Stegostoma tigrinum: one gene and its partners. The protein of the gene in region 3 interacts with the protein of the main gene of each other region in a pairwise test. Links are inferred from orthologs where the notes say so. Each region holds a gene or a part of one and is shown on either strand. Other genes may lie near its edges. The genes, in order: calcium/calmodulin-dependent protein kinase type II subunit delta, apip and transportin-2.

Evidence for each region.
Region 1: the proteins of transportin-2 (region 3) and calcium/calmodulin-dependent protein kinase type II subunit delta interact in binary tests that used the Homo sapiens proteins (3 or more experiments, as listed by UniProt). The two-hybrid records come from large-scale screens. The link is inferred for Stegostoma tigrinum from reciprocal best matches to the Homo sapiens genes TNPO2 and CAMK2D.
Region 2: the proteins of transportin-2 (region 3) and apip interact in binary tests that used the Homo sapiens proteins (3 or more experiments, as listed by UniProt). The two-hybrid records come from large-scale screens. The link is inferred for Stegostoma tigrinum from reciprocal best matches to the Homo sapiens genes TNPO2 and APIP.

Annotation. Positions count from the first base shown.
Region 1 is NC_081354.1:65,026,710-65,030,460, forward strand, and holds the start of calcium/calmodulin-dependent protein kinase type II subunit delta, read right to left. Parts: upstream 2,219-3,751; 5' UTR 1,675-2,218; coding exon 1,610-1,674; intron 1,040-1,609; coding exon 945-1,039; intron 1-944. UniProt on the Homo sapiens protein: Calcium/calmodulin-dependent protein kinase involved in the regulation of Ca(2+) homeostatis and excitation-contraction coupling (ECC) in heart by targeting ion channels, transporters and accessory proteins involved in Ca(2+) influx into the myocyte, Ca(2+) release from the sarcoplasmic reticulum (SR), SR Ca(2+) uptake and Na(+) and K(+) channel transport.
Region 2 is NC_081370.1:13,301,453-13,305,203, reverse strand, and holds the start of apip (methylthioribulose-1-phosphate dehydratase), read right to left. Parts: upstream 2,582-3,751; 5' UTR 2,559-2,581; coding exon 2,541-2,558; intron 1-2,540. UniProt on the Homo sapiens protein: Catalyzes the dehydration of methylthioribulose-1-phosphate (MTRu-1-P) into 2,3-diketo-5-methylthiopentyl-1-phosphate (DK-MTP-1-P).
Region 3 is NC_081388.1:23,997,027-24,000,777, reverse strand, and holds the start of transportin-2, read left to right. Parts: upstream 1-920; 5' UTR 921-1,027; intron 1,028-2,801; exon of another isoform or gene 2,802-2,893; intron 2,894-2,953; exon of another isoform or gene 2,954-3,091; intron 3,092-3,751. UniProt on the Homo sapiens protein: Probably functions in nuclear protein import as nuclear transport receptor. Serves as receptor for nuclear localization signals (NLS) in cargo substrates.

The DNA of each region.
Region 1 (3,751 bases), on a different chromosome or scaffold from region 3:
GAAAATAACAGTAGCTATATCCGTCCTGCAGAGGGCTAGTATGAACATGACAGAGCAAATGGCCTCCTTCTGCGCTGGAACTATTCTCTGAAGCTCAGTTTAAGTCGTAAGGGAGCTTTAATGTTCTCTTCCCCCAGAAAACGGTGCGGGCGAGTGGACGAAATCACGGTCTGACAGAGCGTATATTCGCTCATTCCTCTGAAGGCTTCAAAGATTCGATCCTATCCCAGCAGCAGTTGGCCACTGGAACTGACAAGACCTACAGGAGCCCGTCAGCCACTCCGAAAAGCCAAGTCGAGAATGAGGAGGAGAAGAAGCCTTCACGGAATTAGAACACAGCATCCATAATTCATCCCTTTAGTGATATGAAAGGCCTCGGCACAGGCAAACTTTCAGGCGTATTAAATATGTATCAGGCCAGGCTATGGATTAAATCGCCCAGAATCAGCATAAGGCAAAATGTTTCGCAGTCATTGATTCCACTGAAGTTGTGTGTTTACACGCAGAAGAAATTGCCGTTCCCCCACTTTTACAGATTTGTCCGAAAAAGGGGCGTTGGCAAACTGATTGGAATGTTTCCCAGTCTCAAATACTGACAGACAAATAATAATGCAAGTCTTAACTCGACGTAACTGGCACAACTAGATTTGCTGTTCACTTTTATCAGTGACTTCGCTTGGATGTGTTTCAGCTCACTTTGCATTTCCACAAATTAATTCCGTAGAACTTACCCGTTTCCAATACAGCGCGTAATGGGGGGGGGGGGGGGGGGCAATTGTCAACTCCATTCAAATGACAGCAACTTGCAAGGATTATAACAATTCTGCAGGTGCCATCTATTCATTCCAGGAGATAACTATTCTGACCTTTGCACGCGGCATATTCCTGCAATGCACCCAACATATTAACAGTGGAATGTTACAAAAACGTTGATATAAACCTACCCCTGGCCGACAGTTTTTTGGTATTGATAATTTTGGCAGCGTACTCCTGTCCCGTGGAGATTTTCATGCATCGTCTCACCACCGAGAAGGCTCCCCTGAAAGCAATCGATCACACAAGCATGTATGTATACATATATATCATTCAAGCAAAAATAGTACAAACAGACAACCCTCACCACATTGCAACGCGGCTACAAACCAGCTAAAGCGCAAACAAGTGGAAAGCCAACGTTAAAAAAGCAAAACAATACAGCCCAAAGTATTGAGAACGTGTTTACCAAACACATTTCAGGTGGATTTTGTCAACAAAACATCAAGGGAAACATTTCAAGTCACTGGGCGCAGAATCCGGATTACGATGTGAAACACCTCTCCCCACAGGAGGAGAAAAAGGGACACCATGCATTTTGCTGGATTTTACGTCGTGAGATGGTAGCAGTATCCCACAACATGCCTCGACATTTCCAATAACATTTAACAAAACGTAACTATGCATAACCGTAAGACTGCACTCCGTGAAAATATTATCAATGCAACCCATCTCCTCCACGCCAGAATACCAATGCTTATCGCCAAATTAAGAAAATTTCGTTTGGAAACGCAACTGTGTCAATTCAAACAAACAAAACAGACAGAAATAAAAACGACAAGATGTGTTTGCGTACTTTCCAAGTTCCTCGAAGAGCTGGTATTCGTCCGTGAATCTGGTACACGTTGTGGTTGAAGCCATGGTGAGATGTAGACGAATTCTCGCTGCTGTCTCCGGTGTGTGTGTGTGTGTGTTCAGTCCCTCTCGCCGCTTCACCCCTCCCCCTGCCACCGGGCTTTCAGAGAGAGACCTGCTTCACTGACTCAAGGTGTGCAGCTCAGAGCCGCCGAGCTTCTCTCCCCGACCCTAGGGGGCGGATTTGCAGCCGTTTGTCCTGGTCGAAGAAACTGTATGTGTGAGAGAGACCCAGTCACTGTGACGGCACGGTCCCTCGCTGTTCTGTGTCACTAAAAGCGAAAGCAGTTTCCTCTGAGCGTCTGCGTGTCAAATCAAACTGAGCCGCCCTCCCCTAACATTGTAGTGTAGCCTACACTCAATCAGTCAACCTGGCTCTCCCTCAATCCCTTACCACCTCACTCTCTCTTATTTATCTCGTATAGGAGATATCAACGTGTGTCTCTATCTCTCCCTCCTCCCTACCAGAGTAGGGAAATGAGAAAATAAAACCCCATCTCTGGATTCTCTCAACATCTCGCGATATATTTTACAAAAACCCCAGAGCGGATTACTACAGGCTGGAGGAGGAGAGAGACTGACGTCAATGACCAAGCAGGGGAAAAACTTGGATTTTACATTTCAAAAGACAAATGCTTATGAATAAAATAAATCGCTAAAGTCTGAGCCGAAAGCTCAGCTCAAGGCGCAGTCTTTAATTTCAAGTGTTAAAATATTATCCCTTCCTTAGTTCAGGTTATTAATGGCATTTTCAGATTGTTTCAGCAAGAAATATCAAACTGATATGCAGCCTGGTGTCACTTATAGACTAATATCAAGGGGCTAATTTACTGAGGACTGAGAGCCTTTACCGTTCTTGCTCGCCAGTTCATCCATTCTGTTTTTATTCCTCATTGTATGGTAGCGTCTCATGATTTTGTTTTTAAAATGCCGTTCAGATTTTCTAATGCAGCCTGCTTTTGCCACAAGAGAAACTTTGCTTCATTAGCGGCGACGTGGAGTGTGTAAAGTGGTGCTCTCTCTCCCCTATACTCAATCACCACTAGGAGAGAATGTGTCACTCCGGTGCCCTTACCGAGCAATGAGACTGCACCCTTTCTCCCTTTCGCTTCTCCCTCAGAAAAAAAATGCTAGCTGCATCGCTCACCGCTGCCGCAGTGTTAGAGGCAGCGGCAGCCAGAACCAATCGCTATGACTGTATTTTACAGCAGGGACCAGGCTAGAGAGTTCAGAGTCAAATAATGGCCGAGGTTAGAGTTGGGAACATTTATTTTTAGACACATTTCTGCTTGAATTTATTTTTGTTTGATTTTAAAATTCATTCGGGAAAGTAAACAAGGTTGGTAGAGGAGTGCTGCTTGCAACATGTAAGCAAAAAAAAGTATCAAATATGAAAAAAATGCGTATTTTTTCCCAACAGCCACTACTTTGGATTTCAACTCTATTTGCCTATCTTTGAAGATTTGAAAAATGCAGAAATACCAAACCTTCCATGGACATTGGAGATAGCACTACAGTTGTCAGCTGTGCCTGAGTTAGCACATTAATGAACCAGGAGGTTGTAAGTTTAAGGAACTTCCATTCCAAAGACTTAAGCTCATAATTTATGCTGATGGTGCATAGTACTGAGGAAATGCTGTCTTTCAGCTGAGGCATTATTCTGGAGGCCCGTTGTCTGCTGTGTCAGGTGAATGGTCAAATAATACCGTGTGGAAGAAAATTGGGTTAGTTCTCCGAGTGTTCTCTTTTACATATTCACCCAAGGGATGCAGCTGTCCCTGACTGGGCCAAGATTCAGTACCCATTCCCTGTTGCTCTTGAGAAGGCAGTGGTGAGCTGCATTCTTGAACCATGGCAGTCCATGTACTGAGAGGTGGCAAATGGAGTTTAATGCAGACAAGTGTGAGGTGATGCACTTTGGTAGGATAAAATAATCAGAGGGTTAGATAGGGTGGATAGGGAGACCCTTTGTCCTAGGATGGTGACGGCGAGCACGAGGGAGCATAGCTTTAAATTGAGGGGTGAAAGATATAGGACAGATGTCAGAGGTAGTTTCTTAGAGAGTAGTAAGGGAATGGAATGC
Region 2 (3,751 bases), on a different chromosome or scaffold from region 3:
GGTGATGTCATTTCCTGTTCTTTTTCTCAAAGGGTGGTATATGGGCTCCAAATAAATGTGTTTGTTGATGGAGTTCCGGTTGGAATGCCATGCTTCTAGGAATTCTCGTGCATGTCTCTGTTTGGCTTGTCCTCGGATGGATGTGTTGTCCCAATCAAAGTGGTGTCCTTCCTCATCTGTATGTAAGGATACTAGTGATAGTAGGTCATGTCTTTTTGTTAGTTGACGTTCATCTACCCTGGTGGCTAGCTTTCTGCCTGTTTGTCCAATGTAGTGTTTGTCACAGTTCTTGCAAGGTATTTTGTAAGTGACAGAGATAATGGGAACTGCAGATGCTGGAGAATTCCAAGATAATAAAATGTGAGGCTGGATGAACACAGCAGGCCAAGCAGCATCTCAGGAGCACAAAAGCTGCCGTTTCGGGCCTGGAACCTTCATCAGAGAGGGGGATGGGGAGAGGGAACTGGAATAAATAGGGAGAGAGGGGGAGGCGGACCGAAGATGGAGAGTAAAGAAGATAGGTGGAGAGAGGATAGGTGGGGAGGTAGGGAGGGGATAGATCAGTCCAGGGAAGACGGACAGGTCAAGGAGGTGGGATGAGGTTAGTAGGTAGCTGAGGGTGCGGCATGGGGTGGGAGGAAGGGATGGGTGAGAGGAAGAACCGGTTAGGGAGGCAGAGACAGGTTGGACTGGTTTTGGGATGCAGTGGGTGGGGGGGAAGAGCTGGGCTGGTTGTGTGGTGCAGTGGGGGGAGGGGACGAACTGGGCTGGTTTAGGGATGCAGTAGGGGAAGGGGAGATTTTGAAACTGGTGAAGTCCACATTGATACCATATGGCTGCAGGGTTCCCAGGCGGAATATGAGTTGCTGTTCCTGCAACCTTCGGGTGGCATCATTGTGGCAGTGCAGGAGGCCCATGATGGACATGTCATCTAGAGAATGGGAGGGGGAGTGGAAATGGTTTGCGACTGGGAGGTGCAGTTGTTTGTTGCGAACTGAGCGGAGGTGTTCTGCAAGCTTGGGGACCGCTGCATCCCTAAACCAGCCCAGTTTGTCCCCTCCCCCCACTGCACCACACAACCAGCCCAGCTCTTCCCCCCCACCCACTGCATCCCAAAACCAGTCCAACCTGTCTCTGCCTCCCTAACCGGTTCTTCCTCTCACCCATCCCTTCCTCCCACCCCATGCCGCACCCTCAGCTACCTACTAACCTCATCCCACCTCCTTGACCTGTCCGTCTTCCCTGGACTGACCTATCCCCTCCCTACCTCCCCACCTAAACTCTCTCCACCTATCTTCTTTACTCTCCATCTTCGGTCCGCCTCCCCCTCTCTCCCTATTTATTCCAGTTCCCTCTCTGATGAAGGGTCCAGACCCGAAATGGCAGCTTTTGTGCCCTGAGATGCTGCTTGGCCTGCTGTGTTCATCCAGCCTCACATTTTATTATTTTGTAAGTGACGTTTGTTTTGCTTGTTGTCTGTATAGGGTCTTTTAAGTTCATTCTATGTGGTTATATGTGGTTAAGAAACAGAGGGGTTCAAATTATGAGGTGAGGGGAGGTTTGTGATGTCCCGACAGAGCACATTTAAGTATTGTTTGTTTATACTGCTTTTCTTTCCTTTAGCTGGAAAGGAAGAATGATTGGTGGGAGGATCAGGAAACAAAGGACATTGTTTGAGTGTGTCTGGCAAAAGAGACAATGATGGCATGAGAAAAGTCATTATTATTCAGACAGTACGGTAGTCAGGATCTGAAATAAACTGTTAGATGATCTCACAGAAAACTGGGCACACGTGCTAAAAACATTGAATGCTTTCAATGAGCTAGATAGCATTTTAAAGGCTAAAGGGAACAAAGAGAATGGCAAAAGTGGGCATAGGGGTACTGACTTGCATGATCATCATGATCATATTGAACAGAGATGTGGAGGTGTCAGTGTTGGACTGAGGTGGGCAATGCCAGAAGTTACAGAACACAAGGTTGTTGTCCAATATTTCACCTGATTGAAGGAGCAGGGCTGAAAAAGCTTGTGATTTCAAATAAACCTGTTGGACTATAACCTGGCAATGTGCAACTTCTGACAGTGAATAGTGGTGTGGGCATGATGGGCCAAATGGCCTACTGCTGTTCCTATGTTCCATGTTTGACACGATGGACCGAATGGCCTCTTTCTGCGTTGTTACTTGTCCATGACTGACCTTACACCGTACAATGGCAAAATCCTTAATGTAACCTCTTTGAAAGGTCTATTTTATAGAGGCCTCAGACAATATGGTGCAGACAAGCTGGGGAAATATCAGACGTGGAGGAAGAAGGTCAGACCGTATAACATTTCACCAAGGGAAAAACAAAACGGCCTGTATCGACTGCTTTCTTGCTGCCAGATTGCTGAGCTTCTCCAGCACTTTCTGTTTTTGTTTCTGATCAACCAGCACACGCAGTTCTTTGTTTCATAAAAATAGGCACAAACTAAACTAATGTCCGGCTGAAATCGGCACAGCAACAGCCCCCGTTCTCCCTCTCTACCGCCCACGACCTCACCTCCAACTCCGGCTCCATGTCCTCTCAAAAGGGGGCGGGACGGAGCGTGCAGGAGGCGGGACGTTACGTGAATGGGGGCGGAGTGTGATCGAGTGAGGCGGGGCGTGGAGGGTCAGGGCGGTACGTGCTGTGGGGGTGGGCGTGAGGTGATGGAGCGAAGCGTGCAGGGGTGGGGCGGAGCGCTCAGTTTGCTGGGTAGCGAGGGTGGGGGAGGGCAGGAAGGGGGCGGGGCGCAACGTGCAGTGGATGGGGCGGAAATCCGTTGGTCGGGCCCACAGCGCAGGTGCGGGGCGGAACTTGCCAGCGTGGGAGGAAGGCGCAGCGGTGGGGCGGAGCTTGTAGTGGATGAGCGGGACACAGCGTATGTTTGGGCCGTGTAGTAAGTCCTCCTTTGCTTGGGTACGGCCATCATGGCCGCTTCGCTGCTCGGCTCCCTTAGTGTCCTTCGAGTGGCCCTTACGTCTCGGAGCCTCCCGCTTTTGGCCGTCCGCTTAGGTCACTGCCGGTATGTGGGCTCTAGTCGCCGGCTTTTGGGTGAGTGAGAAAAGGGCAGATAGAGACGGGAAAGATGAAGGGAGGATATTGAACGAGGGGTAGGGAATTGGGGAAAGCTCGTGGGTGGGGTGGGGTGGGGCGCTGGAATGATATGGCGCAGAATATGGGAGCTAGTGTTCAGAATGAGGCTGAGGGGACAACAGGCCAGAATGATAAGGAAATGGTGGTATTGGTGGAAAAATTGGTGGTGAAGCAGGGACAGAATGGTATTGTGTCTTGCCACCCGTAGTTTCTGGGTGTGTTCTTTAGAGGCTGACGTGATTTAGTGTGTATGAGAGTATAGCACCTTCTGGTTTAAGGAGAAGAGCCTTGTGGAGTAAACGAAATACAGTTTATTGTTAATTTGCAACCAATTAAACGTTATAACGTAGCTTCTATGTCATGACAAGTGTTGGGAATAAGCGATGGTAGGAACTGCAGATGCTGGAGAACCTGAGATAACAAGGTGTAGAGCTGGATGAACACAACAGGCCAAGCAGCATCAGAAAGCTGATGTTTTGGGGAGTTAGGGAGTGGATAGGTCAGTCCAGGGAGGATGAACAAGTCAAGGGAGTGGGATGTGGCTAGTTGGTAGGAGAGGGGGGTGGGGCTTGAGGTGGATGGAGGGGCTAGGTGGTAGGACAGACTAGGGAGGTGCTGACAAGCTGAGCTAGTTT
Region 3 (3,751 bases):
CTCCCCACCTATACTCTCCTCTCCACCTATCTTCTTTTCTCTCCATCTTCGGTCCGCCTCCCCCTCTCTCCCTATTTATTCCAGAACCCTCTCCCCATCCCCCTCTCTGATGAGGGGTCTAGGCCCGAAACGTCAGCTTTTGTGCTCCTGAGCCTGCTGTGTTCATCCAGCTATGCAGTTTGTTGCCTTGCCTTGTCTTGTCCTTGGAACTGGGAAAATCTTTTTCTCTTCTATCCAATTCTGATCTGGAAGCTCTGAATGAGTTTACTTCCACTATATTTTCAGGCTATATGTTCCAGACCCTAATCACTTTTACTATTACTGGATTTCCCCTCGCATTGCCTTTCATTATTTTGTTGTTCAGTTTGTGTACTTCGATTATTGACATCTTCACCAAGGGAAGCAACTTTCACCTATCTTTCTGTTTTATCCATTCATGGGATGAGGGAGTCGCTGGCTAGGCAGCATTTATTGCCCGTCCCTAATTGCCCAGAGGGCAGTTAAGACACAACCACATTGCTGTGGGTCTGCAGTCACATGTAGGTCAGACCAGGTAAGGGTAGAATCAACAACGGATTCATGGTCATTACATGGAAAACGTGTTTAAATTTGATTTGGTACAGAATAAGGAGCTCTGACAAATTCAGGGGAGACCGAAGGCAACTGGTGGATGTGGCCGTGTGTTCCCGTCCAGAGATGAGCGTCACTGATGGACAAAGGGGGAAGGAACTGTTGTTGTTTTAATACAGTGTCCCAAGGCATCAGAAACAGGGAGCGCCCGCCTACCTGCTACTCACTCGGGGAAACTCCCTCAATGAGAATCCCGAGAGCAGGCCCCGTCTCCATGGGAACCAAGGTCTGTGGGAGACCACGTGTCTCGGCGGAGCATGCCGGTCCACAGCGCGGAGACCGCCGGGTAAAAGCGGGACACGATCACGTGGCAAAAGCGGCAAGTCCGATTGGCCAGAGAGAATTTAAACCCGGGGCCGGGCGGCGGGACCAGAGACTGAGACAAAGCGGGAGGAAGGTACCGGGGGCATGGGGCACCACTGGGCAACACGGGGGAGACATACACATACACACACACAGGGCACGTACGGGGTGGGCCAGACATTGGGGACAGGGGCAGGCGGGCACTGGGTACACAGGGGGATGCGGGCTCACCCTGACACCGGGTACATGGGGAGGGGGTAGCGGGTGCTGGGTACACTGGGAGATGGGGGGTTATCCTGACACCGGGTACATGGGGAGGGGGGCAGGAGGGTACTGGGTACACAGGGAGATGGGGGGGTGGGTCACCCTGACAGTGGGTACACGGGGAGATAGGGGGGTCACCCTGACACCGGGTATGCGGGGACAGGGGCAGACGGGCACTGGGTACACAGGGAGATGGGGGGGTGGGTCACCCTGACAGTGGGTACACGGGGAGATGGGGTGTCACCCTGACACCGGGTATGCGGGGTCAGGGGCAGGCACGAAACTGGGTACATGGAGATGGGGGGTCACCCTGACACCGGGTAGATGGGGACAGGGGCAGGTGGGCACTGGTTACACAGGGAGATGGGGGGGATCACCCTGACACCGGGTACATGGGGAGGGGGGCAGGGGGATACTGGTTACACAGGGAGATGGGGGGGATCACCCTGACACCGGGTACATGGGGAGGGGGGCAGGGGGGTACTGGGTACACAGGGAGATGGGAGGGCACCCTGACACTGGGTACATGGGAAGGGGGGTACTGGGTACACAGGGAGATTGGGGGGGTCACCCTGACACCGGGTACATGGGGAGGGGGGGCAGGAGGGCACTGGGTACACAGGGAGATGGGGGGATCACCATGACACTGGGTACCTGGGGAGCAGGGCAGTGGGGTAGTCGGTACACAGGGAGATGAGGGGGGTCACCCTGACACCAGGTATATGGGGGTTCACCCTGACACCGGGTACCTGGGGAGCGGGGCAGGCGGGCACTGGGTGCACAGAGAGATGGGGGTGTCACCCTGACACTGGGTACAGGGGGAGAGGGGCAGGGGGTACTGGGTACACGGGGAGATGGGGGGGGCAGGTCACCCTGACAGTGGGTACACGGGGACAGGGGAAGGTGGGCACTGGGTATGCCGGGAGATGCGTGGGGTCACCCTAACACCGGGTACATGGGGCAGGGGTGGGGGGGTTACTGGTTACACAGGGAGATGGGAAGGTCATCCTGGCACCGGGTACATGGGGAGGGGGCAGGGCTGTGCTGGTTACACAGGGAGATGGGGGGGGGGGTCACCCTGACACCGGGTACATGGGGAGGGGGCAGGGGGGCACTGGATACACAGGGAGATGGGTGTGTTCACCCTGACACCGGGTACATGGGGAGGGGGGCAGGTGGGCAATGGGTACATGGGGAGAGCGGGGGTCACCCTGACACCGGGTACATGGGGAGGGGGCAGGAGGGTACTGGGTACACAGGGAGATGGGGACAGGGGCAGGGGGTGTACTGGGTAGATGGGGGTGTCACCCTGACACCGGGTACATGGGGAGGGGGCAGGGCTGTGCTGGTTACACAGGGTGATGGGGGGGAGGTCACCCTGACACCGGGTACATGGGGAGGGGGCAGGGGGGCACTGGGTACAGAGGGAGATGGGGGGGAGGTCACCCTGACACCGGGTACATGGGGAGGGGGCAGGGGGGCACTGGGTACACAGGGAGATGGGAGGTCACCCTGACACGGGTCGAGTAGGGGATGGTAAGGGGGCGCCCTGAGTCGGGGCCACATGGAGAGGGTGGGTCTGGCGGGATGTGGGCGGGGACTGGGGGAAAGTGGGCGGAGTAAAGGCGGCGGCGGCGTGAGGAGCCCATTGTGGGGAGGGACCGCCCGAGGACGCCGGGGCTCTGGCCTGCGGCTGGTGAGTGAGCGAGCGAGCGAGCGAGGGAGGGAGGAAGGAGGAGGAGGAAGGAGAGCCCGAGGCCTGGACTCGCGGAATGGGGGTTCAGCTCCTCCGCCAGCCCGAGGCTGCGGCCTGTGCTCTGGCCGGGTTCCTACCTCGCTGACGGAGCCCGAGTACAGGCCCGAGGCTGCGGCCTCCATCCCTGAGAGGTGGATGGTGTGTTGGACGGGGGGGGAAAGAGAAGGGGGGTGGGGTTGTGTGTGTGTGTGGGGCCGGGGCCTTAGAATCGCTGGACACGCTTTACCTGTGTCTCTCCCTGTCTCTCCCTGTGTCCCTGGGGGTAAGGTATTTACCTCGTGGGGATAAACCTTCTCTATCAAACCCTGTCCCATCAGACATGAACTCCCTGGGTTCACTCCGCCTGACCCTTCACTGTGTCCTGGCTGCTATCTCCTGACCAATATCGTACTGTGGGTCTGGGCATTGGTGGCTGTTTGTGCTTTGAGAACTCGCCCTCAGCATTTCCTGACAGTGTGCTGGTGTTGACCAAACCTTGCCAACAAACAGGCATTCTGGTGCTTGATAACGGATCGTGGAGCATTTGCGGTGTCCGCGCCTTTTTTATTTGACAGTATTGTTATGGAAGGCATTGGTAAGGATTGTTGGGACAAAATGGTTGGAGCTTCTCCATATTAGCTGAGGCTGCTCAATCTAATCCCACTCAGTACAACAGTGAACACTCATCTCTTTGTGGGGACTTGTGGTGCTGATAGTGCTGCTATTTCAGAGATCAGAATGAGGCATTCAGGGGGAGGAGAAGGGGAATGCAGGCAGGGTGGCATAATACAGGGATGGTGGTGTGATTGTTGCAAAAAA